Linked DNA regions of Cricetulus griseus. The protein of the gene in region 1 purifies or fractionates together with the protein of each later gene. This does not show direct contact. Links are inferred from orthologs where the notes say so. Each region holds a gene or a part of one and is shown in the gene's direction. Other genes may lie near its edges. The genes, in order: Snrpb, Sf3a3, Smndc1, Zgpat, Sf3b3, Snrpb2 and Ddx23.

The links.
Region 2: the proteins of Snrpb (region 1) and Sf3a3 purify together in Homo sapiens (affinity purification with mass spectrometry; 4 studies listed by BioGRID and IntAct, with this or other methods). This does not show direct contact. The link is inferred for Cricetulus griseus from reciprocal best matches to the Homo sapiens genes SNRPB and SF3A3.
Region 3: the proteins of Snrpb (region 1) and Smndc1 purify together in Homo sapiens (affinity purification with mass spectrometry; 3 studies listed by BioGRID and IntAct, with this or other methods). This does not show direct contact. The link is inferred for Cricetulus griseus from reciprocal best matches to the Homo sapiens genes SNRPB and SMNDC1.
Region 4: the proteins of Snrpb (region 1) and Zgpat purify together in Homo sapiens (affinity purification with mass spectrometry; 3 studies listed by BioGRID and IntAct, with this or other methods). This does not show direct contact. The link is inferred for Cricetulus griseus from reciprocal best matches to the Homo sapiens genes SNRPB and ZGPAT.
Region 5: the proteins of Snrpb (region 1) and Sf3b3 purify together in Homo sapiens (affinity purification with mass spectrometry; 3 studies listed by BioGRID and IntAct, with this or other methods). This does not show direct contact. The link is inferred for Cricetulus griseus from reciprocal best matches to the Homo sapiens genes SNRPB and SF3B3.
Region 6: the proteins of Snrpb (region 1) and Snrpb2 purify together in Homo sapiens (affinity purification with mass spectrometry; 3 studies listed by BioGRID and IntAct, with this or other methods). This does not show direct contact. The link is inferred for Cricetulus griseus from reciprocal best matches to the Homo sapiens genes SNRPB and SNRPB2.
Region 7: the proteins of Snrpb (region 1) and Ddx23 purify together in Homo sapiens (co-immunoprecipitation; 3 studies listed by BioGRID and IntAct, with this or other methods). This does not show direct contact. The link is inferred for Cricetulus griseus from reciprocal best matches to the Homo sapiens genes SNRPB and DDX23.

The regions. Positions count from the first base shown.
Region 1 is NC_048599.1:48,439,422-48,443,610, forward strand, and holds the start of Snrpb (small nuclear ribonucleoprotein-associated proteins B and B'), read left to right. Parts: upstream 1-1,389; 5' UTR 1,390-1,536; coding exon 1,537-1,539; intron 1,540-3,620; coding exon 3,621-3,772; intron 3,773-4,189. UniProt on the Homo sapiens protein: Plays a role in pre-mRNA splicing as a core component of the spliceosomal U1, U2, U4 and U5 small nuclear ribonucleoproteins (snRNPs), the building blocks of the spliceosome.
Region 2 is NC_048595.1:28,343,422-28,346,921, reverse strand, and holds part of Sf3a3 (splicing factor 3A subunit 3), read left to right. Parts: intron 1-44; coding exon 45-183; intron 184-1,431; coding exon 1,432-1,500; intron 1,501-2,262; coding exon 2,263-2,330; intron 2,331-2,560; coding exon 2,561-2,668; intron 2,669-3,478; coding exon 3,479-3,500. UniProt on the Homo sapiens protein: Component of the 17S U2 SnRNP complex of the spliceosome, a large ribonucleoprotein complex that removes introns from transcribed pre-mRNAs.
Region 3 is NC_048596.1:8,173,020-8,177,275, forward strand, and holds the start of Smndc1 (survival of motor neuron-related-splicing factor 30), read left to right. Parts: upstream 1-1,456; 5' UTR 1,457-1,652; intron 1,653-2,570; coding exon 2,571-2,690; intron 2,691-4,256. UniProt on the Homo sapiens protein: Involved in spliceosome assembly.
Region 4 is NC_048599.1:540,403-544,658, reverse strand, and holds the start of Zgpat (zinc finger CCCH-type with G patch domain-containing protein), read left to right. Parts: upstream 1-1,456; 5' UTR 1,457-1,732; coding exon 1,733-2,313; intron 2,314-4,256. Other genes in the region: Arfrp1 (ADP-ribosylation factor-related protein 1), read right to left, coding at 40-122, 311-398, 687-779. UniProt on the Homo sapiens protein: Transcription repressor that specifically binds the 5'-GGAG[GA]A[GA]A-3' consensus sequence. Represses transcription by recruiting the chromatin multiprotein complex NuRD to target promoters.
Region 5 is NC_048596.1:187,229,787-187,233,286, reverse strand, and holds part of Sf3b3 (splicing factor 3B subunit 3), read left to right. Parts: intron 1-28; exon of another isoform or gene 29-116; intron 117-330; coding exon 331-468; intron 469-1,417; coding exon 1,418-1,521; intron 1,522-3,302; coding exon 3,303-3,468; intron 3,469-3,500. UniProt on the Homo sapiens protein: Component of the 17S U2 SnRNP complex of the spliceosome, a large ribonucleoprotein complex that removes introns from transcribed pre-mRNAs.
Region 6 is NC_048599.1:35,872,897-35,876,396, reverse strand, and holds part of Snrpb2 (U2 small nuclear ribonucleoprotein B''), read left to right. Parts: intron 1-3,228; coding exon 3,229-3,369; intron 3,370-3,500. UniProt on the Homo sapiens protein: Involved in pre-mRNA splicing as component of the spliceosome. Associated with sn-RNP U2, where it contributes to the binding of stem loop IV of U2 snRNA.
Region 7 is NC_048595.1:395,138,937-395,142,436, reverse strand, and holds part of Ddx23 (probable ATP-dependent RNA helicase DDX23), read left to right. Parts: intron 1-825; exon of another isoform or gene 826-972; intron 973-1,081; coding exon 1,082-1,287; intron 1,288-3,181; coding exon 3,182-3,292; intron 3,293-3,500. UniProt on the Homo sapiens protein: Involved in pre-mRNA splicing and its phosphorylated form (by SRPK2) is required for spliceosomal B complex formation.

The DNA.
Region 1 (4,189 bases):
TTTACATAAAAGACCAAAAGTTAGGAAAAAAAACCAAAAAACAAAAACAAGGTTAGAGGAATAAATTACAAACTCCTGGGCATATAAACAACAGTTAGAAGTCACTGAGCAGAATAAGATTAATTCATTCAGCAAATAATTATTGAGCCTTTATGCTAAGCAGTGATCTAAGCAAATAAAACACTATACTCTAGTGGAGCTTACATTCTAATGGGGTAATAAAATAACTTAAGAATATAGACAGTAATCATCTCTTATCCCAGTCTATAGGTCTGAAAATATTAAATGGAAAATTCTAGAACTAAGCATTTAATGTTCTAAGTCATGCACCATTGTGACTAGCATGAGGAAATACCATATTTTTGCCCTAACCACAAATCTTCCCTTTGTGTAGGTTTCCACACTGCATACGCTACCCTCTCGGTAGCTAGAGGGATCATCAGATCAACTGACCTGCGTTGCAGTGTTTGTGTTCAGGTGGTCCTTGTTTTGTTAATAGTCCTAAAGCACTTAATTAGTGATGCCGGCAATTCAAAGGTACCCAAATATGCTTTCTTTAAGTGGAAAAGCACAAGTTCACTGAAGTATACATATGTAGAAAAAATACAGCATATTCAGGGTTTGGTACTGTGACTCGGAGAAGGTACTGGGAGTCTTGGAAGGTAACCCCTCCAACAATGAGGGGACTACCGCTTAGCATGTCAGATAGCAATCAATATTAAAGACAAAAAATGGGAAGGACTCGTTTCTTATCTATCTATCTATCTATCTATCTATCTATCTATCTATCTATCTATCTATCTACCTACCTACCTATCTATAAAGAGAAAGGACGATCAGGGAAGTCCTCACCAGGACAGTGTTATTTCAGTCTAAACATGAAGAGGAAAGGGCGAGACAAAAGCAAATGCAAAGGTACAGATGAAAGAACATTTCAAGCCTTAGGGGAAAATCAGTAAGAGTGAGTTCTGTGAGTGAGTTCACGAGAGCGCTGGGTTCAAGAACTGGAGTAGGGGAGGGGTTCCGGGGAGAGAAACACGCCACCCTCGCGGAGACTAAGTTGGGAAGGTGTGTGTCCAACGAGGATCCAATGCTTTCAAGGGCGTTCAGTTTGATGTTTATTACCAAATATGATGGTGTACGCCCGCGTCGGTACTAAGGATGCTATAGGTAGGAGGATCGGAGCTTAAGACCAGCCTGGGCGACACAGTCTCTAAAACAAAACAAAACGAGAGGGAGAGCTCGATAAAATTAAAACGAAGAAAAAAAAAAAAAACCAAAACCACACACACCAAAAAAATCAAAACAAAAACAAAACCCCAAACAAACCGGCCGCAGTCAACACCTTTCCACGCCCTAAACTGCTACCAGGGCCCGGAACTCCGGGGCGGAGGCCGAGCCGGAAGTAGCCTCACGAGGGGCGGCACTTTGCGGGCTGCATTTCCGTTAGCGGCGGCGGGAATCGCGCTGCTGGCTGGCGACTAGGCCTCTGTGGAAGCGAATCCGGCGGGCATCTGAGACATCGGAGCCGCCACCATGGTAAGAAGGCGCGGGCTGGCCGCGGGGCGCTCAGGGGTGCGGAGTGGGGCGGTGGCTGGCGGCGGCCGTGGGTTGAAGCCGCCCGTGGCCGACAAGGTCGGGGTCGAAGCCGCTTAATCCGGGCGCCAAAGGCCTGGACTTGCGGAGCGGCTGGGCCCGGGTGGAGGGGAAGGCTGCACCGGGGACCGAGGCCGCCGTGCGTGGCCCGGCGCCTCTGCGGTTACAGTTCCGCGGCCTCGGTAGCTGGAAACGTGTGCCGGGTCGCTGTGTGCCCGGGCTCCCGGAGCGGACGCGAGCCTCCGGCCGACCGGGGGACACCGGGCCGGACGGAGGAGAGGCGGAGGGAGCGGGAGGGTGGAGGAGAGTGTTTGCATGCAGAGCGCGACCCTGCTACGCGTATTTTTATGTTGGGGTATGTCAGGCGCTGGGGCTGCACCCTGAAATAAGTTGTGCGTTGGTTCAGTTTCTGGCTCTGTGCAGGGCTAATGTGATTCTCTATGGCAGTTCGGCTTTAGGCAAAAAAGTAACGGCAGGGGGAGGGGCGGGACGGGTCCAGAGCAGACGCCCAAGTGATTGTTTAGGAGCGCCCCGCTCCCCTGTACGAGGGAGGGTTAGAAATCTGGAGAACCGAGAGGGCCCAGTAGAAGGCAACGAATTGTCAGGAACCTGGTTGCTGAAGTCCCTGCATCTTGTTTTCCCTCTTGGTAGTAAGACATCGCTGGAAGAGTTTTCACAGGCTTCATGGACTTAGGTTTAGAAAGGTCAGCCGGGAAAAGTGGCCAGTGCTCGAAATTTGTAATTTCTGTGCATAGTAGGCAGAGGAGCTTGAATTTTGAAGCCAGTTTTGGCTACAGAGCAAATGTAACAAATGCCTCGAATGTCTCCAAAAATATTAGTCTAGTTAAGTAGCTGAAGAAACCCGAGGTAGCGAAAATAGGTTATTGTTTTTGAGAGTTGACTGAGACAAGTCCTTACTTAACCTTCAGCTTGGGTCGTCTATTTGGTCAGTAAAAAGGAATGACAGTGGACCCAGTTTTGAGGATTAAAGGAGATAAATCCTTTTCAAGGGCCTAGCCATACATAGCTATTAAATATTAGCTATTGGACCGATATACGCCGATCCTAGTAACAGAGCTCTTTGAGATGATTATTTAAGCAGAAAAAAATACAAAATCTGGTTTTCAGGTTAGGGCTGGGTAATGCTCACAGGGGTGAACAGCGTTCCTGGTACAGAGAAGACAACTTGGGTAGTTAAAAGTGACATAATGCCAGTTATAGTTGTGGGTAACTGATACGTTTCTGAGAGAGACTACCACAGATACCTCTGTTCACCTAGGGGTGTGTATAAGCGCCTTTATTTTTGCAAAGTTACATTGGGAACCAGGATAGAGAATGTTGTTTGCCTTAATTAAAAATTAGACTATTATATTATATATATATATTAGACTATTAAGTATCCAAACTAATTAGCACTCTGGCCCAGAAAAGTTGCCCAAGTTACCCTACTCCTGTTCTTGCTTCAGAGCTGGTTTCACTTTCTGGTAATAAGCTTTTCCTTAATTAAGTGAATCCACTTAGTGCCTGTTGAATTCCAGTTCTTAGTTTAGATGGATTTAGTTGTTCGTAGAACTGAGTCTATATAGTGGTGGATGGCTTAATGCCCACTAGGTCTAGTATGGGTGGATTTGATTAGTTTGTGAACACTTTAACTCTCCTGAGACAGATACAACATAGACAAAGTTGTAGTCCCAGGGAGATTGCCTGTTTTAAGGGCAGGGAAAATAGCACATTAATGGGCAGAAATCAAGGCTAAAGCTGGTTGATAAGAGTCTCAGAAAAGGACCTTGTTTGGAAGATGTCAGGAAATTGTTGAGAAGGTTGGGAATAGAAAAGTAGGCTGTGGTGGAAGATGGGGGCGGGGAGCAGAAGTGTGTGAGCGAGTCCTCCCTGCTCCCTCTTTGCAGACTGTGGGTAAGAGCAGAAGTGTGTGAGTGAGTCCTCCCTGCTCCCTCCTTGCAGACTGTGGGTAAGAGCAGAAGTGTGTGAGTGAGTCCTCACTGCTCCCTGCTCTCTCCTTGCAGACTGTGGGTAAGAGCAGCAAGATGCTGCAGCACATTGACTACAGGATGAGGTGCATCCTGCAAGATGGCCGGATCTTCATCGGGACCTTCAAAGCTTTTGACAAGCATATGAATTTGATCCTCTGTGACTGTGATGAATTCAGGAAGATCAAGTAAGGAGAGGGCTGTTGGGAGGGAGAAGGAACTGGGATGGACTGGATGGATGGGCGGGCCAAGAGTGGGATGGCCATTCAGCTAGGTGCTCTTGTTTGCTCACTTGCTTTTGAAGGGAGAAACTTAAAGGGGAATGTTAGCTGCTAAGGAATCTCTTCCTTAATCCAGAAAACCTTGCTCTCCAATTCTAGCAAAGTAGAAGTTGGTGAGGAGGGCTGCTAGGCTTTTAATTTTTCTGAGTTTGCATGCCCCTGGGTACTGGGGTAAAGGGCTCTCATGTTCTCCCCACAGGTGTGTGAGGGGGGAGAGCTTGATTTTCTGGCCTCATTACCTATTTGTAAAGCTGTAGCCTAAAGGGCTCTCCTATTGCAGCCTGGTCTGAAACTGCTTTAAGAAGCCTCTGACCCTCTTCAGGG
Region 2 (3,500 bases), on another chromosome or scaffold:
ACAGATAGAAGCTGTGATTGCTTTCTCTGTTGCGTGTTCTGCAGATACCTGGAAATGCTGCTGGAGTACCTCCAGGATTACACAGATAGAGTGAAGCCCCTTCAGGATCAGAATGAACTCTTTGGGAAGATTCAGACCGACTTTGAGAAGAAGTGGGATAATGGTACCTTTCCTGGATGGCCGGTGAGCTTCAGCGGGGTTCATGCCCGGGAAGTGAACTTAGGTAGCAAGTCTTTTTCTGTCCTGCTAGCAGATCCCAAATAATGACACGGAGGCTTACTGTTAATTATCATAGCCTGGCCTATAACTTAGGCTTGCTCCTTACTAGCTCTTATAACTTAAATTAGCCCATTTATATTAATCTACTTCCTATCATGTGGCGTTACCTCTTTTCCATCTTGTACCTCCTGTTTCCTCTCTATCTTCCACATGCCTAAAATCCTCCTTCTCTCCTTCCTCTCTCTGGAAATCCTGCCTATACCTCCTGCCTAGCTGTTGGCCACTCAGCTTTTTATTACACCCATCACAGCAATACACCTTCACACAGTGTACAAATATCCCACAGCAAGCTTACTATTTCAGTCTTGAGTCTCTGCTTCAGGACATTGGATGCCAGTCCCTCAGGATCAACTCTACCCTAAAGCAAGGCTTTCTTTGTACACTTTGAACAAGATTTGTCAGGACCCACTGGCCATTGTCTAGGGCCAGGGGTTTTTTGTTTGTTTGCTTGCTTGCTTCTGAGACAGGGTTTCTCTGTAGCTTTGGAGCCTGTCCTTGAACTTGCTTTGTAGACCAGGCTGGTCTCAAACTCACAAAGGTCCACCTGCCTCTGCCTCCCCAGTGCTAGGATTAATGATGTGTGCTATCACTGCCTGGCTTGGGCCTGGGATTTTTTTTTTTTTTTAATATTTTTTAAACATTTATTTTTTTATTTTTTATTTATACAACGTTCCACTTGCATGTATGCCTGCAAGCCAGAAGAGGGCACCAGATCTTGACAGATGGTTGTGAGCCACCATGTGGTTGCTGGGAATTGAACTCAGGACCTCTGGAAGAGCAGACGGTGCTCTTAACCTTTGAGCCATCTCTCCAGCCCTGGGCCTGTGATTTTTTACAACCATATCCTGATTACTCTGTGTCTCCTGCTGAACAAAATCTGATCGGTTTGAATGATTAGATATGACACACACACACACACACACACACACACACACACACACACACACACACACACACGTGTTCTGTTGATAAACTTGAACCTTCAGGAAGAAACTAGCCATCTTTTTAATTTTTTGCTTCATTTCTGTATGATTTGATCATTATTTGTAAATGTGATTAAAGAAAGGGGCCAGCCAGTCCTGGGAATTTAGACGGCTCGCGTACCTTCATTCATCTTATTAACCTGGATCTTAAACTTCTTGTTCTTGCCAGAAAGAGACGAGCAGTGCCCTGACCCATGCTGGAGCCCATCTTGATCTCTCTGCATTCTCCTCCTGGGAGGTATGTTTTAGGACAGTAGATGATAGTAGCCTTGCTTGGCCATCTTTGTGTTGTTATTAAATTTATTGTGTAGGAGTAGTTGTATGTCTCTACACATGTGCCACAGCACGCATGTGCAGATGATAAGCTGTGAGCATTGGTTCTCTCCTTCCACCAGCTTCTCTCCTGAGGCTCAAACTCAGGTTATCACTTAAAGCAAACATTGTTTCTTTCTTAGCTGTCTCACTAGCCCTGGCCATCCTTCAGAGGGACCACTTGCTTCCTGTCTTCAGTGTCTTAGACTTGCAATAATACCATTTCCTGAGGACAGGCATGTACTAGGCATATGGAAAAACCAGGAGGAAAAAACCTTTCAACTTCTTTAAGAGAAGTGTGATAAGATGTTACAGTATTTAGAGTTAGAGGGTAGCTGCAGCAGGAGAATTGCTGTTAATGTGAAGCTAGCTTCAGAATGATACCCTGTCTCAAAACACAAAGACAGTAATTCTAAAGGAGAACAGTGTACTGGAGACAGCTCTGTTGGTGTAGTGCTCTATCAGCAGGTGTGGGGTCCCAAGTTCAGTTCCCATCTCTGCGAAAATACTGGTAGGACCGATTCTACCTACAGATAGAATTCTACCTACACCACCCTCCCAGTGTGGCAGCATCTAGACATGGCAGTAGTCTGTCTCTGGATACTGAAAGCTAGGTTGGCTGTAGAATGTAGTCTTGCCTGTGGAAAAAGCTAATTGTTCTATTTTGTAATTAATTTATCTTTTGTAGGAGTTGGCATCCCTGGGTCTGGACAGGTTGAAATCTGCACTGTTGGCTTTAGGCCTGAAATGTGGTGGGTAAGAACCCAGTTTTTCTATCAAAGCTACTTATTGTGTGTTTACTGTGTGGTTCAGATTTTGTTGTTTTCTGTTGCCCTACACTGCAAAAACTATCTTGTGCAGGGCATGATGGTGCACACTTTTAACCCCAGCACTTAAGAGGCAGAGGCCAGTAGGCTCTGAGTCTCACGCCAGCCTGCTCTACATAAAGTTCACCCTAAAATCCTATGTACCCCCTGCCTCCTTAGGACCCTAGAAGAGCGAGCTCAGAGGCTGTTCAGCACCAAAGGAAAGTCCTTGGAGTCACTCGACACTTCTCTGTTTGCCAAAAATCCCAAATCAAAGGGTACAAAAAGGTGAGTAGCTGGGGCGCATCTCTATTCTTATTTTAGATTTCTTTCCCGTAGGGTCTGCTTTCCCTCTTTCCTTTTGCTTTGCTTTTTCCTTTTAAGACAGGATCTCCTGTACCTCAGGTTGGCTGCAAACTTGCTACATTTCTGGGCAGGACCTTAATCTTTTTTTTCAAGACAGGGTTTCTCTGTGTAGCCCTGGCTGTACTTGAAGTTGTTCTGTAGACCAAGCTGACCTTGAACTCACAGAGATCTGCCTGCCTCTGCCTCCCTACTGCTAGGATTAAAGGCATGTGCCACTGTGGCCTAGCTTCTACTTTTACTAAAGACAGTCAAACGTATTCAAAAGCCACATACCTATACAGAGTATTTTATATTATTTTTTTGTTTTGGGCATTTGGAGGTTTTTGTTTGTTTTAATGTTCTTTTCTAATTTGTCATACTAAGCCTGAATAGTAGTTGTTACTCTAATTTTTTCGGGGGCTTGGGAAAGTTGCAATATGTGCCCTTTCTTGCAGTTTCTAAGCAGTGAAGTTAGGACTTTGTCATGCATTTGCTTGCAGGACTTCCTGTATACTATGGTCCTCTATAAGTTACAGTATTAGGGTTGGAATAGTCTTACGGGGTCATTGACTTTATAGGCAATGTGAAGAGGAGACAGCAGGACTTAAAGCAGAGAGCTTGCTCTGCATGGTGTTATGTTGCTCGTGTGCCTGGGGGTTTCTAATGCAGTCACAGAGTCAGTGCTCCTTTCAGGAGTAAAGCTGTAGGTGCAGAAAGAACCTTTAACTGACACAGCTTTCTTCTTGTTCTCAGAGACACTGAGAGGAACAAAGAT
Region 3 (4,256 bases), on another chromosome or scaffold:
GTCTGACCCTGCCTCTGCCTCCCTACCCCTGCCCCCACCTCTCTGCCCCTGCCCCACCTCTCTGCCCCCTGCCCCGCCTCTCTGCCCCTGCCCCCACCTCTCTGCCCTACCCCCGCCTCTCTGCCCCTGCCCCCCGCCTCTCTGCCCCTGCCTCTCTGCCCCTACCCCTGCCTCTCTGCCCCTGCCTCTCTGCCCTGCCCTCTCTACCCCTGCCCCCGTCTCTCTACCCCTGCCCCGGCCTCTCTGCCCCTGCCTCTGCCTCTCTACCCCTGCCCCCGTCTCTCTGTCCCCGTCTCTCTGCCCCTGCGCCCACCTCTCTACCCCTGCCCCCGTGTCTCTGCCCCCGTCTCTCTGCCCCTGCCACCCACCTCTCTACCCCTGCCCCGTCTCTCTGCCCCTGCCCCGCCTCTTCTGCCCCTGCCTCTGCCTCTTACCCCTGCCCCCCGTGTCTCTGCCCCCGTCTCTCTGCCCCTGCGCCCACCTCTCTACCCCTGCCCCCGTCTCTCTGTCCCCGTCTCTCTGCCCCTGCCTCTGCCTCCCTACCCCTGTCCCCGCCTCTCTGCCCCTGCCCCCGCCTCTCTGCCCCTGCCTCTCTACCCCTGCCCCCGTCTCTCTACCCCCACCACGTCTCTCTGCCCCTACCTCTGCCTCTCTGCCCCTGCCCCGCCTCTCTACCCCCGTCTCTCTGCCCCTGCCCCCGCCTCTCTGCCCCTACCCCCGTCTCTCTGCCCCTGCCCCAGCCTCTCTGCCTCTCTACCCCTGCCCCCGTCTCTGTATCCTCGTCTCTCTGCCCCTGCCCCCGCCCCCGCCTCTCTGCCCCTACCCACGCCTCTCTGCCCCTGCCCCCGCCTCTCTGCCCCTGCCTCTGCCTCTCTACCCCTGCCCCCGTCTCTCTATCCCCGTCTCTCTGCCCCCGCCCCCGCCTCTCTGCCTCCCCCGTCTCTCTTGCCCCTGCCCCCGCCCTCTCTGCCCCTGCCTCTCTGCCCCTGCCCCCGTCTCTCTACCCCCGCCTCTCTGCCCTTGCCCCCGCCTCTCTGCCCCTGCCCCCGCCTCTCTGCCCCTGCCCCCGCCTCTCTGCCCCCGCCTCCCCGGGGCGGGGCCGCAGGCGCCCTTAGGCCCCGCCACTCTCGGCACTAACCCCCTGCCTCGTGTCCTCACCCCTGCCGGGAAGGCTCGCGAGCGCTCGCCCCGGCATCCAGACGGGGCAGCCCACGGGAGGACGCCCCGCCCCCGCCCGCCCCCGCCGCCCCGCCCCCCCGCCGCCGCTCCGGGAGGAACTGACGCAAGAGGAGCCCGCACTCTGCGCCAGGCGCAGCGCAGACGCGTCACTTCCGCCCCAGTGAGGCCACACCCACCCCGCCTCCAGAGGCCGCCGACGCCGGCCGCTGAGAGGACGCCGGGAGTCATGTGACGCCAGCGCCACTCCGCGAGAGCCCGCGCGTCTCGCGAGATCTGAGTCGCCTTGTCTCTTCCTCCTGCGGGAGCCCGGCTTTCCTCCCCTCCCCCCGCGCCGCCGCTGGAGTTTTCCCTCTTGAGACCGAACCTTCTCGTCGCCGTGGACTTCGCCCCCGTCGCCGCCGCTGCTGCCGCCGCCGCCGCTGGGCCCGCTTCCCCGACCCCTGCCCGCCGCCCCGTCCCCAGCCCCGCCCAAGGTAACGAGCCTCGGACGGACGGACGGACGGACGGAGGGTGTAGGCCTCGCCGGGCCTCGGCCTGGAGTAGAGACGGAGGCCGCGGGGTCCCGGCGCGGGCAGCGTGTGGGGCCGGCCGCGCTCGCACCCCGAGTGGGCCGCCCGGGCCGGCGGGGAGGCTTCCGGGCCCAGGCGGCGAGCGTGGCCGGCCCGGGGAAGCCGGCGGGCGGGCGGGCGGCCGGGGGACAGGCCCGGGAGGATGGTGGATGCGGGGCGCCGCCGTTTCCATGGAAGCGGAGCTCCGAGCTTCCCGCTGCGAGCGGCGGGCGCAGCTGTGGCGGGGCGGGGGCCGGGGAGGGGGAGCGGCCCGGACGCGGTCCTGCAGCCCGTGTGCCCCGCACGCAGTGCAGCCCCGAGCTGCGCCCCCGAGACGGCCGGCCGCGGCGGGGACGGGGCTCCGCAGGCCGCGCTCGCCCGACGCCAGGGCCGCAGAAGCGCCTTGCGCAGCGCTGTCTGGCTTTGGAAGGGCTCGCCCGTCCTCGCTTGCCTGGTCTCACTCTGCCCACCGGGGAGAAGCTTGTCGGAAGCCCGGCGGTGCTGGCGTCCGCCTTTACTCCCAGCACTCGGGACGCAGAGACAGGCGCGGGGAGCTCTGTGAGTGCGACACCAGCCTGGCCCACAGAGCGACTGCCCGGACAGCCTCCAAAGCCACACAGACAGACCCTGCCTTTCTTCAAGCAGATCGCTTTCTCTGACATGCTGTAGTCCATAGGATTTATTGCTTTGAAGTTTGGGGGTTAGCTATATCTGAAGAAAGTACAAGTGATGAGGAATAAAACGAGCTGGGAGCAGAAGTGATAACTTAGGCCGGTTGGAGGACCATTTTTGTAGTTCGGCGTTTGACTCAGCTCGTATGGTTTTTTTCATTTTTTTCCTCAGATGTCAGAGGACCTGGCAAAACAGTTGGCTAGCTACAAAGCTCAGCTCCAGCAAGTAGAAGCTGCCTTGTCTGGGAACGGAGAAAATGAAGACCTCTTGAAATTGAAGAAGGATTTGCAAGTAAGGATAAGTGGACAGTTGGAGTTGATGTTGCTTGAAAGAATATTTGTTTTTCTCAAATGAAGTGTTGTTCAGAATTCATAGGCACTTAAAGCACCCGTGAAGAAGGGGCTCCCTGCTTGCATACATACATACATACATACATACATACATACATACATACATACATACGCACGCACGCACGCACGCACGCACGCTGTGTACGCACCGGTGAAGAAGGGGCTCCCTGCTTGCTTGCATACATACATACATACATACATACATACTCCCTGCTTGCATGCATACATACATACATACATACATACATACGCACGCACGCACGCACGCACGCACGCACGCACGCACGCACGCACGCACGCTGTGTACGCACCGGTGAAGAAGGGGCTCCCTGCTTGTATTCACACACGCGGGCACCCAGGCTTCTGTGGTTGCTTTCTCCATTAGGTGTACATTGGAATGAATGAAACACTCATGGTTTTGTAACTCTTGTGTGTGCTTTTAGGAGCTCATGAGAAGAAACGTTGCAACTGAGTATGCGTTTATTTTTAAAGATTTGACAAGGAAACTTAGTTCAAAAGGTAACAGTGTTAAAGGAGGAAAGGATACCCGGATTAAGGTCCATTTCACTGAACCAAAAACTGTGACCATGGTTCTCCGCACTAATGGGGTACACCTTTTGTAAAAACACTCATGATGTGCTTACACGGGGATGTGTAAAGAGATCCCATTCTGCCCATGTTGTAAGTGTTTGGACTTAGGACTTGGCTTTGTAGTTGTGCCTGTCTAAGTTGAATTGGTGTAAAAGGAGACATAACTTTCACGGGAGATAGGAATTATGAAACTTGTAAGTACATGCACGGGGGGCTTCAGGACAAACTCAATACCTGTCGATTCTTAGAGCAGCAGCCTAAGAAAAATAGCACATGTAATTTGTAAATATTGTGTACAAAAGTTTTGATCTTAAGAACATCCTTAAAATTCAGGGTGTTTTGATGATTTCTGCTTATTCTATGTCCCATCCAAATAGTCCTTCCCTTTATACTATTGATGGCTATTAATATTAGATTTTGCCTGATGTGTACATCTTTAGGAAGCTTATGCAGGAAGCAGAAGTAGGCATTGCTCTGAGTTCTAGGCCATCCAAGGCTACATGGTGAGACACTATCTCAAAATAAAAACCCCACAAAATTTCAAATGTAACATACTAGAGAGAGCTTAATAGATTGGGGGATTCTGAAAGATCTATTTTAATTTAAAATGAGTTGGACATTCTTAAACTCAGATTCTAGACTTACAATAGTGTAAATGTGGGATAATATTACTTTGAACAGTGCTCTCCTTCAGTTTAAAGCCACGCTTAGGGAGTGATGTGCCATTCAGTTACCTGTGCACTGAGGATTGGTTGAAGGTGGAGTGACAGAAGCAGGTTGACCTGCCCATCCACCCCTGCTGACCTAAAGCAGTCCTTTCTGGCCTTTGAAGAACAGGAGTGTGCACTTGCTGGGCAGTGGGAGGTCTGTGTAGAGCTGATAGAGGAGAGTTGGGAGTCAAGTTTTGAACAGCATT
Region 4 (4,256 bases), about 48 Mb from region 1:
TCTAGAGAAATACAGTACAGAGCAGATAGTGTGTCTCACCTTGTCCCACAAAGACTGTAGTTCTTCTTGTCCACCTAAGTCCCAGAACATGAGACGAGCCTTCCCCACGTCCACAGTGCCAACTGGGGAGAGGATAGAATGAGCTAGCTCCTGACCTTACTCTTTACAAAGTCCCAGCTCTTCCTGGAATGAGGAAAACCATTCTGGTACCAATCCCAGCAGGCATGCACAGAGAGGGATCTGGCCCCTGGCCAGCTGGGCTACGTACGGGCTTGCATCTCTAAGGGACCCAAGCTCATATCCCCCTTACTGTTTAGGCCCACGGTAGTGGTGATTTTGGATAGACTCATCCCTTTGTAGTTCTTGTTAAACCGTGTTTTTGATTGTTCCAAGAAGGTCTGAGGAAAGAAAGAAAGGTGGTTAGGTAGTGGCAGCTAAAGCAGTTTCCTGGTGTCTTTTCTAAATATCCCTCCACATCCATATGCTTTGGGCAAATTCAGGCTTTCACACCCACATGGTTTGGGCAACTTCAGGCCTTCACACCCATACACACATGCACACGAACCTCTGCCTGTTGAATGCTCTTCGGGAGGCTGGTGGCAACTAACCTGTAGTCTTGGGTAGGGATTAGATTTGCAAAGAACATAAGGCAGGGAAAGGGAATTGGTGAGAGAACAGGCACCTACTGTCTTCCCGGCATTGTCCAGGCCTAGGATCAGGATGCAGTATTCATCCTTCTGGAACATGTACTTGTACAGCCCCGAAAGCAGCGTGTACATCCTGCCCTGGCACCCTGAGAAATGTCAAGGTGTGTACCAGGGCTATCGGCCTCCTGTCCGCTTCATCAGTGGTCCGTCGGTCCTGCTAGTTTTCAAATGTGGAGCCTCGTGGCTCGCGACTCCTTGCCCCCCTCTCCCCAGCCCCCGATTCCGGACCCTGCCTCCACCACCGACCACCCGCTAAACCTGGGCCACTACTCCCACTGCGGGTCATCTTTGTGAATACACCATCAGTCCTGAAAAACCCATGGCGGCCTACCCTGCTCCGCCCTCCTAAGGCTTCTTTTCCGGACCCTCAACTCAGCACTGGGAACTTCGACTGTCGTAGCTACCAGAGAGTCAGCTTCTGAGTGGGCCGCCTTTGGATCCCCCCCCGCTGCCGGGCCCACGGAGCCAAAGAACCAGCTGCCGAAGCCGCTTCCCTGCCCCCTACCCCAGGATTCTGGAACCCCGGCCCCTCAGTCCGGCGGAGACCCACCTGCACCTGCTCAGATCTCGGAGCCGCAGACGCCGTCGTCGCGTCGCAAACCCCACCGACCTCGCGTTGACCCCGCGCGGTGCCTGTCGGGACACCGACCGGCCGACTGAGTACGAGAGGGCGGAGCCGCATCCCGACGGCCCCCGCGCGCCCCATCCCGGAGGCTCCCGAACGCGGGCACTTCCGGCAGCATCAGCTCTCGGGCGGAAGTGCCCGCGGCGGGCGGAAGGCTAGCGCGAGGGCTCTGCTGGCGAGGCCGGAAGCCCTTGTAGGCTGCGAGCACCGGCGGGAGGCGGGGCTGCGGACCGCAGAGGACGCGGTGGGATACTTTGCGGTTCCCTTGGCAGCGCCGAGGTCCTCCTCAGCCTCTCCAGCGGCCGGGGAGGGGGCGGCGTTGTCCTGAGCTCTGCCGACTGCTCTTCCCTCAGGTCTCGTCTGCTTTAGCGGTTCCGAAACTAGCCTGCGCGGTGTAGCGATGGACGAGGACAACCTGGAGACGGCCCTGCAGACCTACCGGGCCCAGCTCGGGCAGGTAGAGCTGGCTCTTGGTGCTGGCCTGGACGCTTCCGAGCTTGCGGACCTGCGCCAGCTGCAGGGCGATCTGAAGGAACTGATAGAGCTCACCGAGGCCAGCCTGTTGTCGGTCAGGAAGAGCAAGCTGCTGGCTACAGTGGACCTGGAGCACCAGGCAGAGGAGGACGCTGAGTACTTGGCTTTCCAGAAGGCTGTGGCGGAGGAAGGGGAGGCACCCGTCGCCCCCGTGGATGACTCGGAGACTGTCCCTGGGAGCGTGGTGCGGCCTGGACCCACCTCCCCTGCACAGGAGGAAGACGAGGAGGATCCAGATCAGGAGGAGCTGAGCGGTGCTAAAGTGAATGCCCCTTACCACAGCGCTTGGGGCACGCTAGAGTATCACAACGCAATGGTTGTGGGCACTGAAGAGGCAGAGGATGGTTCGGCATGCGTTCGCGTACTCTACCTGTACCCTACCCACAAGTCCCTGAAGCCCTGCCCGTTCTTCCTGGAGGGAAAATGCCGCTTCAAGGAGAACTGCAGGTAAAGCCCTCTGCTACTAGCAATAAGGGTCACTCGAGCAGGACCACTGCTGTGGCCTGCCGCCTTCACAACTTGTTCTCCACCCCGCAGAATTGATAAAAGAGAAGGGGGAGCTTCAGGTGGCTGACAGGCTTTAACAGGAACATTCCCTGTTAAGTAAACACATAAGTAAACACATTATATTCATTCTCTCTCTCTCTCTCTCTCTCTCTCTCTCTCTCTCTCTCTCTCTCTCTCTCTCTCTCTCTCTCTCCACCTCCCACCCTCCCTCCCTCTTTTTTTGGATACAGAGTTTCACTGTGTAGCCCTGTCTGTCCTGGAGCTCGCTCTGTAGATCAGTCTGGCCTTGAACTCAGAGATCTACCTGCTCTGCCTCCCAGGTGCTTGGGACTAAAGGCGTGTGTCACCACTTCTAGCTAAGATTTATTTTTGTGTGTATTTGTGTGGGTATGTGAACATGAGTACAGGTGCCAGAAGGTGTTGCATGTTCTACAGCTGGAGTTCCAGGTGCTTATGAGCCACCCAACATAGATCCTGGAAAACAAACTCAGGTCCTCTGCAAGAGCAGTATGCTCTCAACCACCAAGCCATTTCTCTAGCTCTATATACTTACTTTTCTTTTTAATTGTGTGTATGTGTGTGTGTTTGTGAATACATGTGTACTTGAGTACAGGTGCATGAGGAGGCTAAAAGAAGGTGTTGGATCTCCTGAAGCAGGAGCTTCAGGACTACTGGTAGTGAACTACTTGGGTCTTCCTCAAAAACATTACACATACTCTTAACCACTGAGCCATCTCTCCAACCTCCAGAGACCACCTATATTCCTTGGTTTGTGGTTCTCTTACATCACTTTAAGCTCTTACTTCCATGGTTACATCTGTACTCTGCACATTTTATTTCTTTACTTTTTCTTTAACATGGGATCTCATGTAGCTTTAAGCTGGCCTTGAAATCCATATATAGCCAAGGATGACTTTAAATTCTTCATCTTTCTGCTTCTACCTCCCTAGGGCCAGGATTACAAGCATGTGCTACCTAGCTTGGCTCTGCACATCTTTTTTAGATCCTAGTAGACTTGACATGTTCCTTGCTCACTCTCTTTCCTTCTCATGCCTATAGGTGCATAAATGATCAGTGTGCTCAGTGGGTTTTCTCCAAGAATACACATGTTGCTATAACCAGTGGCTGCTTTATCTGCCATAGTCTTTTTGTGGGAAGCCCTGTGATGAGAGATTTAATACCTCTAAGTACTTTCTCTGACTGACATATGCTCACTTCTCTGTGCACGAACCTATGGGTAGGCCCTGAACTCATCCCATTTTATATAATTTTTGTTTTATTTTATTTTGTATGTATATATGCATGTGCCATGGTGCTCATGTGTAGGTCAAAAGACAGCTTTTGAGTGTAGGCTCCTTCAACCATGTGGGCCCTGGGGATTGAATTCAGGTCATCAAGCTTGGCAGAAGGTACCTTTACTTGTCAAACCATTTGTCAGTCCCCACCCCACTTTATAGATGGAGAGACAGACACCAAAGCACTAAGTGATCGGTACAATGTTGCTGGCCGTGAGACCACTTCATCACAAGGAGCTGCTTGTGGTATCAATTTTAGGGCAGAACTAAAAGACAATAAAACATCTAACACCATCTTTACAACCATCCAGGATGAATGAGTTGTTTTCTTGAATTTGCTTTAGATTTTTTTTGTTTTGTTTTGTTTTGTTTTTGTTTTTCGAGACAGGGTTTCTCTATGTAGCTTTGGAGCCTATCCTGGCACTTGCTCTAGAGACCAGGCTGACCTCGAGCTCACAGAGATCCACCTGCCTCTGCCTCCTGAGTGCTGGGATTAAAGGCGTGCACCACCAATGCCCAGCTTGCTTTAGATTCTTAAAAATAAATTTAACTAACTCCACCTGCATTACCATAACTTTGGTGTATGTC
Region 5 (3,500 bases), on another chromosome or scaffold:
GTGGTTGTTGTTCTTAAATTTTTATTCACAGCCTGAAATGATGACTTTAATTTCATGTCTCTTCTCTGACATTTTTCTCTGGAGATGATTTTTGCTTTACTGATCTGATCAGGCTGTAGAATGGAATATTAGCTGTTTCTTTGTTCCTGGGTGTTTAGTATGTATTTCTAGCAGACAAGTTTTAGTTATTTTGTTCAGTTGGCAGCTACTGTGGTTATTATTTGTATGTTAGACCTTGATGGTCTGTATAGTTCCTATTGTTAAAGTACTTAATTCTAGAATAAAAAGTACCTATTTCTAAGATGTTGATTATATATTTGGCCTTACTAGAATGACCTGGATGACCCTGAAAGAGGAATGATTTTTGTTTGCTCTGCCACCCATAAGACCAAGTCCATGTTCTTCTTTTTGGCTCAAACGGAGCAGGGAGATATCTTTAAGATCACTTTAGAGACAGATGAAGATATGGTAAGTAGACCATGGATGGAGGGGGGAAATATGTATCTGTTGTAGTCTATTTTTAATTTGAATATAATTTAAAACTCTTGTCTAAAGTACTTGGCTATATATACATGTAAGATTTACAAAGCTGCTTTGCAACCATCATAACTTTTCCCTGCATTAAGATAGGGAGTAAGTACACCTGATACTTGACAAGTCAAAAAGAGGGCTTTTGCCTTGTCTTCTTGTTTTGTTCTATTTGACTGTGGTCTCATGGAGGCCTGCTTTTTTTTTTTTTTTTTTTTTTTTTTTTTTTTTTTTTTTTTTTTTTTTTAGAGGAAATGGAGTGGGAGTGAATCTGGGGAGAGGAGGGGAGATTGTGGGGGGCTGGGAGAAGTGGAGGGAGGGAGGGGAACCTCACTGGGATGTATGGTTATGAGACAAAAACATACTTTTAATTAAAAGAAAGAAAGAAAAAAGAAATTTAGATACCTTAGAAAATGATTACTTTTACTTTTGGGTTTGAATGTGAAAATGGGTTTTCCTATTCTGGCTAATGAGTATCTGGTCTTGTAAAGCCATAACAATAATTGATGTGAATAGGAGAAAGCTCTTCATGTCTCGGTAGTTGATAAAATGCATGGTATTTTATTGACGTGATCCTTAACAATGGACATTTAGTTACCTAGGTACTGTTTAGTTGGGAATTGCTAAGATTTGTAAAGGTTAGGTAGTCATTTTCAATTTTTCTGTGTCATACAGACTCAGTCTAAATTAACTTTGGCATTGAAACAGAAAGAGCAGTAGACCCAGCAGTCTGAGTTATCATTTGTTCCCTTTTCGTTTAGATACTGAGCATGGTGGGGTTTTGTTTGTTTGCTTGTTTTTGTTTTTTTACTTAGTTCTGCTTGTGGTGCATAACAGCAGGCTTCTGTGGCCAAGCTGCACTTGCCTTTACACTAATCTTTTTCTCCAGGTAACTGAAATCCGCCTGAAGTACTTTGATACTGTACCTGTTGCTGCTGCAATGTGTGTGCTTAAAACAGGCTTCCTTTTTGTGGCATCAGAATTTGGAAATCAGTGAGTAATCCTTTTATTGTCCCAGTTTACCTTGGTTACCATAAATAGTAAAAGTTGGCAGAAGGGAGGTGTGGTTGGTGTGGTTTCAGAGCTAGGGAGGTTTTCACAAAGTAGTAAAGGTTTTTCAGAACAAGTAATTGCTTTCATTTTCTCTTTGTTTACATTTTCCCCAGCCCTTCTTTTCTATTGCATATTCTCTCTCTTATTTAATAAGTGTTTTTTTTAAAGTTATTTAAAATTTTATGTGTATGTCTGCTGAGTATGTATATACACCACATGCATATAGAAACCTGAAGAGGGCATCTGGAACTGGAGTTACAGATGATTGTGAGCCATCAAAATATGGCTGCTGGGGAGGCTGGAGAGATGGCTCAGAGGTTAAGAGCACTGGCTGCTCTTCCAGAGGCCAATTCCCAGCAACCACATGATGGCTCTCAACCATCTATAATGAGATCTGGTGCTCTATTCTGGTATGCAGGCAGAACACTGTATACATAATAAATAAATCTTAAAAAAAAAAAAAAAAGATATGGATGCTGGGAACCGAACTCAGGTTCTCTGTAAGAGCAGCAAATGCTCTTAAACTACTACCTTCCCAAGGCTTCCCTCCAGTCCCATTTTTCTGTTCTTTTTTTGTGTGTGTGCTTTATTTCATGGCTTCAGTCACTGCCTCTGAATGTCTGCAAAAATACCTTTAGCTGAGTGTATGGTGGTACATACCTGGATTCCAGCACTTGGAAGGCCAAGGCAGGAGAATCTCAAGTTTGAGGTCAGCTTGGGCTACATAGTGAGATGATTGTCTCTAGAAAACTAAAAACCAGAGAGATTCCTACAAGAACTTCTTGTGCAGACCTAAACTTGAAGGTCATTAGTACCTACACTGCCTGCCCACATCACCAGTGTGCCATGATCAGGATTTTTTTGTTATTGACTAAAAGAGCCACTTCTAGTAATTTGTAAGTTCTTAATTTATTTTTCCTCTACTACTTTTAGTCAAATGCAGAGTTCTCTTTTTACTTCTTTTTGTGGTTTCAATCTAAATTTAACTCGATTGGGTTTCCTGCAAAATCCAGTCTTCATAGAGTTGTCTCCATGCCACCTCAACAAATTAGAACAATCCTTATTGACATATTTCCTGTATCTCTGTATTAACAGTATTTGGTGAATTTTCACTGCCAAATGGAAGAAATCTCAACTGTAATTGCTATTTAAAACCAATATCCACAACTTCAAATGACATAAATGACAAGGTCTTGCCAGTAGCTGCTAATATGTATGCAGAACACTTACTAATTTAAGCTCAGTTTTCTCATAATTAAAATACAGATACTTTCTAGGAGATTGTACTATTTCTGCCTTGTCTCCAGTAGAAGCATGTGTGAGTATATAGGCCAGACCTTACTGTCAGGTATTTTCCTCAAGGCTCTTTACCTTATTTTCTGAAACAAGGTCTTGGGTTGAACCGGAAGTACACTGATCCATGCTTGTCTCCCGAACTCTGAGATTATAAATGGGTATTACTGCATCCTGATTTTTACATGGGTGTTGGGCATGTGTACTTAGGTCCCCATGCTTGGATGTTAAGCACTCCTCCAACTGAGCTATCCCTAGTCCATACTCTTTCTTCAACATGCCATTTGCCTAAGTACCTTTTTTCATCCCCGTTGAAGTTTTTACAGCTAACTTTGAATCACATCCCATTTCTTAGTATACTGAAATCTGACTATGCTTAATCGTTTATGCATAACCTGTGTCAAAGAAAGTTCTTTGCTTTTTCCCAGCTACTTATATCAAATTGCCCATCTTGGAGATGATGATGAAGAACCTGAATTTTCATCTGCCATGCCACTAGAAGAAGGAGACACATTTTTTTTTCAGCCAAGACCACTCAAAAACCTTGTGCTTGTGGATGAACTAGACAGCCTCTCTCCCATTCTGTTTTGCCAGGTATGACTTTATTCAATCACCTCTACACTGTG
Region 6 (3,500 bases), about 13 Mb from region 1:
ACTACTAGAGCTGAATTACTAATGAACTTATTCTAGTTAAAATGAGCAAAATTATATTATGATGTGCATCATTGAAAAATAGGATGGCAACATAGACAAGATTCTTCAAAACATTAAGGTAGCATAGTGATAACATGCATGGTTTCTCAGCACTAGGGAGTGGAGGCAGGAGGGTCAGAAGTTCAAGGATATCCCGGGCTACATGAGACTCTCTCAGTTAGGATTGGGAGGTCCAGAGAGCATGTGTGGAACTCAATTAGGAGGCCAATAGGTTTAAGACTGGGTGATGGTGGATTGGAAAATCTTAAGTATGAGGACATAGGCTGGGCCCTGAGTATAGATTCATATTGCCTTTCTGCTGAGATTGGAACATCATGAAAAGAGGTCTTGGAGAGCCAAAGCCTGTGACTTAGAGGATCTGACTCCTCATTTGTGTTCTGCTACTAGCAGAGGCTGCATCTCTATTCGCTTCCACCACCACTAAAATATGAGCAAGTTGAATCATTGGTTTAATCCAGACATCAGCAGAAACTTCAAAGGACTAGATATATATGTCAAGCTTTGCTGACCACGTAAAGTTTTGATACCTATTGCTTTCTTTGTGTTTTGAACCTTTTAAAATTGTGTTAAAATAATTGTTAACTCACAAGCTGTACAAAAACAGGTCATGATCTGGATTTGGTCTTAAGGCTGATAGTCTTCCCTTCATATCATGGAGAAGGACTGAGCATGAGGCCAATCTTATTCGTTTAAGGTGTATTCTTGTAGCTAGTGGTAGCATCAGCACTTGGAAACTAATAACATTTAGTATGATGCTTTTTATATACTAGGGGGGGAACACATTTTCCAGTGGGGTCGGGCAGTAAGATTGCATGCCTCCCTAGCCAGATGCTTCTCTGTCATAGCTCTTTATGCAGACAGCAGTGTAGGCAGTGCACATCCAACTGAATGGGTGTGGCTGTGCTCCATCCAGCCCTACAGTGTTAGCTGTCAGCCTCATTTGGGAGCCTTTGTCCTGTATCACTGTTTCCCGAGTTTCAGTAAGGTGAAGTTTCCTGAAGCAGCTATGATTATTTAATTTGAAAATATTTACATATCTAGATCTCATTTGCCTGGAACACAAAACTTCTTTAGGCAATTTGGCTGAATTGAAATGGCAAGTTGGCACGTGCCTTGTTAACTGGATACAAGAAAAGAGAAAATATTTGCTGTGTTTGGCACTAACCTCACCTTGCCAACTCATTTTTTAAAATGAATACAAAATGTCCATTGGTCTGATTCTATACTGAAGGTATTTTAGAGGTCCATTTTCTGCCTCTAAAACTTGGCAGGAGTTGCCAGATCTCCAGCATCTTGACAGGATAAATAAGATGCTTTGAGTTGCCTTGCTTGTATTTAAGTGCTTTTAGGTTAGATCAACAGTGAGCAGGGTTTGCTTCAAATTCTAACTCAGTCACACAATAACCTCAATAAAGTAGACCTGTTGTCCTGAGGGCTTCCATCATGAGTCTTTTGGAATAAATGTTAATCTTGCTCTTTGCTGTTTTTAAGAGATAATTGCATTTTATTTTTATGGGTATTTGGAGCAGAGTTTCTTTGTAATGCATTTTGGGGTTTTACTATTCACTAGGGTGTTTATCAGTCCCTGGCTTCTACCCACTAGAAGCTAAAAAGCATCTCTGCTGGCAGTATCTCTATATAGTCCCTGGACACTGCATTATGTCCTGTTAAGAGCCGTTGTTGAGATCAGATACTTTCTTAGATGAATGTGCTAACAGTGGCCAGCAGACAAGTGAGGGACCCAAGATCTGTTCAGGTCAGGGACAGGGTTGATGACCTCTGAGCACTGAATTCTTCTGAGTGGTAGAATTTGAACCTTAGCCTGTTTTGTCTGTTAGAACATGTTGGGAAGGTTAGCAGAGCTGTCTGGCACATGCTGCAATAGAACGGTCCTCATTGGCCAGGCAAAGCCTGGGGTTCTGAGAGTGCCTGTTTTCCTCTTCCCCTGGTGTATTCTTTCCTAGTGAAAGGAGGGGAAAGAGAATTGCTTTTGGTTTTAAGAAATTCTTTCCTCTGATCCACACTACTTTAAAATGCTTTTTCTTCTCTTTAGACGAAGATCAAATTCTTGGGATAGGAGGACCTTGTAGGGTTATTGTGTTTTGATGTCATCAAAAAAAATGTTGACTCTTTGAACTCTGGAGATATTTTTGTTTGAATGGAAATTGCAACTTGCAGACATACCCTTGGTAACTGTACAGGTAGTTGGCAGAAATATTTGGCCATTTCATCAGTGATGAATTTAGCCATGTAGCAAATTTAGTTTAAGGTTTCACTCCTCAACGCTGGTCGTCATTCACTTTGTGTTTTCAAAAAGCATAGACTCTGTAGCCTTACCTAGACCTTCTGTGTCAGGCTATCCGGGCTGTTGGATTGTGCAGTATAGTTGGCAAAACACTAGTATAGGCCAGTGTTTTTGAGTGCTTGCTGGTCTCAGGTGCCTACCCTCTTGCTGGCTCTCTCTGGTATAGGAAGATTATGCCTGATCATAGCAGCTGATCTCTATCCTTCTGTTTCATCTTAATCCACTTCAACATTTAAATTACTGAATTCATTTATTGAAATTGATGGATTCAAAGGAAAGTCATTTACAGACTTTTACTTTAAGTAAATACATTTTGAAGTTGATTGACACATACTGATCCCTTTGTGAGTCATTATAAGTTTTCGTTGTTATTAAGTCAGAAGAAGCAGTAGTGTAGCTTCTGCAGCCTTGCTCTTACCCTATGCAGTCTGGTCGAGTGGCTTTCTGTTTGTTTTGTGATAGTGGTGGGTATTGAACTTGGGACTTTCATACATGATAGGCAAGTACTCTCCTACTCAGAGTATCTTTACCTTTTCCTTTGAAATAGAGGCTAAGTTTTCAGACTGGCCTTGTAGCCCAGTCAGGCCTCTTGATTTGGCCTCCTGAGTACCTGAGGTTATAGATAGGAGCCACCCAGCCCAACTTTATTTGTCCTTTAATATTAAAGACAGGTGAGTGTAGTTTGCCCTAGTTGTGAATCATGGGCCAGTACTTATTTTCACTAATTTCTTTCATTGGTTTCCTTAAAGATATGTTTAAAATTAGTTTGCATTGTAGTTATGTACTGGGATTTAAAAGGTTAACAACTATTGTAAACAGCCTTCCACAAAGTAATGTAATTTATTTTCCTGTAACTAAAACAGAGAATTCAGTATGCAAAAACAGATTCCGATATAATATCTAAAATGCGTGGCACTTTTGCTGACAAGGAAAAGAAAAAGGAAAAGAAGAAAGCTAAAACCATGGAACAGGCTGCAGCAGCTGCAAACAAGAAGCCTGGGCAGGTGAGACAGAAAAGTGTGTGTGTGTGTGTGTGTGTGTGTGTGTCTGTGTGTTGTTCGCTCGCACACGCGCGCGCGCGCACTGCATGTGTGTGTGTGGGGGGCGTTTCTCTGTGTAGCCCTGGCTCTCCTGG
Region 7 (3,500 bases), on another chromosome or scaffold:
AGGCCAGCTGGTGCTACATAGTGAGATATGTATATATTCTTTTATGGCCTGTGTGTGTGTGTGTGTGTGTGTGTGTGTGTGTGTGTGTGTGTGTGTGTGTGTAAGATAAGTGCAGAGGAAGAGAAAGAAAGGGAATGTACATGCCATACGGTATGTGTAGAGATCAGAGGACTACTTGCCAGGGGTTGGTTCTCTTTCCATTATGTGGGTCCTAGAGCTCAAACGCAGGCCATCAGGCTTGGCATCAGGCAGCTTTGTCCCCATCCTACCCCTGAGCCATCTTGCTAGACCAAGAAAATTTATTCATATTAAATGGTGACTAGCATATCTAATAGATAGCTAGAAGTAGAAATAGATGGTGTTTACTAATGCTTCTCTTTCACACCAAACAGTAGCCCAGAGTAGTCCTAGAACTCACCACTTAGACCAGGCTGCTCTTGAATTTGTGATTATTGCCCCGCATCAGTTTTCCAAGTGTTGGGATTACAGGTGTAAGCTAATACATTTGGCTTCTAGCACATATTTTTAATAATAATTCTTTGTAGTTTAATTCCAAATACATGGTATACTTGTTGTGCATATTTAGAGTCTACCCCTAGGTGTGGTGATGGCTTCTAATCCTAGCACTTGGGAAGCTGAGGCAGGAAGATCACCTTGGGTTAAAGGCCAGCCTGTGCTATAAAGTGACACCCTGCCTCAACAAGTGGATAAATGAATATATAAAAAGAAATCACAGGGAGACAATATCGTGGAACAAATAAGAATGGACTTTTTTTTTTTTTTTTTTTTAAACAGGGTTTCTGTGTATAGCAGTCCTGGCTGTCCTGGAACTCATTCTGTAGACCAGGCTGGACTTGAACAGAGATCTGCCTGCCTCTGCCTACTGAGTGCTGGGATTAAAGGCATGTGCCAACCATCCCAGCATTCGAATGGGCTTGCTATCTAGCATTAGTGTTACCTCAAGCAATTAGGGTATGTACTGTGCCTCAGTTCTCTCATCTATGAAGTAGGTATACTAATGCATGTATTGTTTTGAGATTTACTGAACTGTGCATAGTAATTATTTGCCTTTCACACACAGATGGCAGGAGAACTGGCTGACAAAAAGGACCGAGACGCATCACCCAAGGAGGAAAGGAAGCGATCACGGACTCCTGATAGAGAGCGAGATAGAGACCGAGACCGGAAGTCCTCCCCATCTAAAGACAGGAAGCGGCATCGGTCACGGGATAGGCGGCGAGGAGGTAGCCGTTCTCGCTCTCGGTCCCGTTCCAAGTCTACAGAGAGGTAAAGTCACTTTGCATGTCTGTTACACAGGAAGGGGGAAGACATTTGGTGCTTCCAGCACTAAGCAGCTTTTCATATAGTAGCCTACCTTGTCCCAGGTGGACCTGCAAGTACTTTCAGTTTTCTTGTTCCTTTTTTCTGAAATGTAGTCTCCCTGTGTAGCCCAAGTGAACCAGGACTCATGGCGTTCCTCTGTCCTGGCCTCCTGGATGTTGTGGTTATTGGTGTTTCCATGGCACGCAGCTGAGTGACCAGTTCCTGCAGGTTAAAATGTGGTACATGAGCTTATAAGGTGAAGGTACAGAGGTCAAGGATAATGGATTTAAAGGAAAAAGAAAGGAAGATGGCTCACTTGTTCTCCCAGTCCATGATCTTAGCTTGCACTGAAGAGCACTACAGCAGTGCTCTGGAAGAACCTCTTACTAAGGAACTGTGTGCTGTTAACTACAAGCCTGGGCTTAGAGGGTAATGTGCTTGCTATGCAAGCATGAGGACCTGAGTTGGGATCTTGAGCACACATGTAAGAAGCCACGTGTGGCAGCATGCACCTGTAAAGCCAGGTGAGTTGGGGCTTGCATAGTCAGCCAGCTATCTTAGCCAATTGGTAAGCTCCAGATTCAGTGAGGGGTCCTGTTTTAAAAGAAAAAAAGATGAGGAAGACAGCTCAGTGGCTAAGGGCACTGGCTACTCTTCCAGAGGACCCAGGTGTGATTCCTAGGATTCCTAACACTCACATGGTAGCTCACAACTGTCTATAACTCTAGTTCAAGGGGATCTGATACCTTTTTCTGGCCTCCTTGGGCAACAGGCATACATGTGGTACATGAACATCCATGCAAGAAAACACACACATAAAACAACTTTCTCTTTTTAAGGTGCAAAGTTTGGTGAAATGGCTGGGTGGTAAGCATCAGGATCTGAGTTCAAATCCCCAGAATCCAAGTAAGAAGCTAGGAGTGCCAGTAATCACTTGGATAGGCAGGTGCCACCAGCTGACTGGCCAGCTAGCCTAGCCAAAATGGCAAGCTTCCAGTCCAGTGAGACTAGTGGTCAGGGTTCTCTGGAGGAACAGAACTTAGAGTGTATCGCTATATACAGAGAAAGGGGATTCATTAGAGTGGCTTACAGACTGAGGTCCAGCTAGTCCAACAATGGCTGGCTGTGAACAGAAAGTCCAAGAATCCAGTAGTTGTTCAATCCACAAGGGTAGGTGTCTCCACTGGTCTTCATTATATACTAGAATCCTGAGGAAGTAGACTCTAAGGTCACTGAAGGAATGGACTTGGTAGCAAGGTGGAAGCAAGCAAACAAACAGCAAAAGCTTCCTTCTTCCTTGTCCTTATATAGACTTCCAGCAGAAGGTGTGGCCTAGGTTAGATCTTCTTACCTCACAGATTTGGATAAGAAGTAGATCTTCCTACCTCAAATGAAGTAAAACCCTCTCAAAAGTGTGAGATGTGCACAGATGTGTGAGATGGGTTTTGGTTCCAGATGTGGTCACAGTGACAACCAAGTATAGCCATCATAGAGACCTTGTCTAAGGCTGAGAGCAGTGGAGGAAGATATCTGATGCTGGGTGCTTGCACCTGCATACTGCCTTGCATACACCATGCACACACACAAACTCACAAACACACATAAATGAAATGGAGTGTGGTAGAAACCATTTGATGTCAACTCTAGCCTCCTCACATGTGTACAGGGTACGTGTATCTATATACACCACACACATAGATCTTTCTAGAATTTCCTCACAGTTTCCCTGAGAAATGTATTTTCCAGTTTGTTAAACATTACTTTAAGGAGAAAGAAACATGGGAACCTTCTCAGGGCCTCAGTGAAGGAAGAAATTCTAGAAATAGCAAGTTATTTTTTTAAATTTTTCATCTTCCAGAGAACGGCGACACAAAGAACGAGAGCGAGATAAAGAACGGGATCGGAATAAGAAAGAGCGGGACCGTGACAAGGATGGACACAGGCGGGACAAGGACCGAAAAAGATCCAGGTAACAGAGTGGGTTTTAGGTGATGCTTCCATCTTTTCTACTCTGTAGCTCAGCTTCATGGGAAAAAGTAGATTTCTCTTAGCAGATACTATTGATAGTTTCTACAGAATGGACTTACAAAGAAAGTTTGTATCTTTTCCATTAGTTTGTTTATTTAATCAGTATATTACTGGCCCTGGGTGGCCTGCAACTTCCCATGTAGACCAGG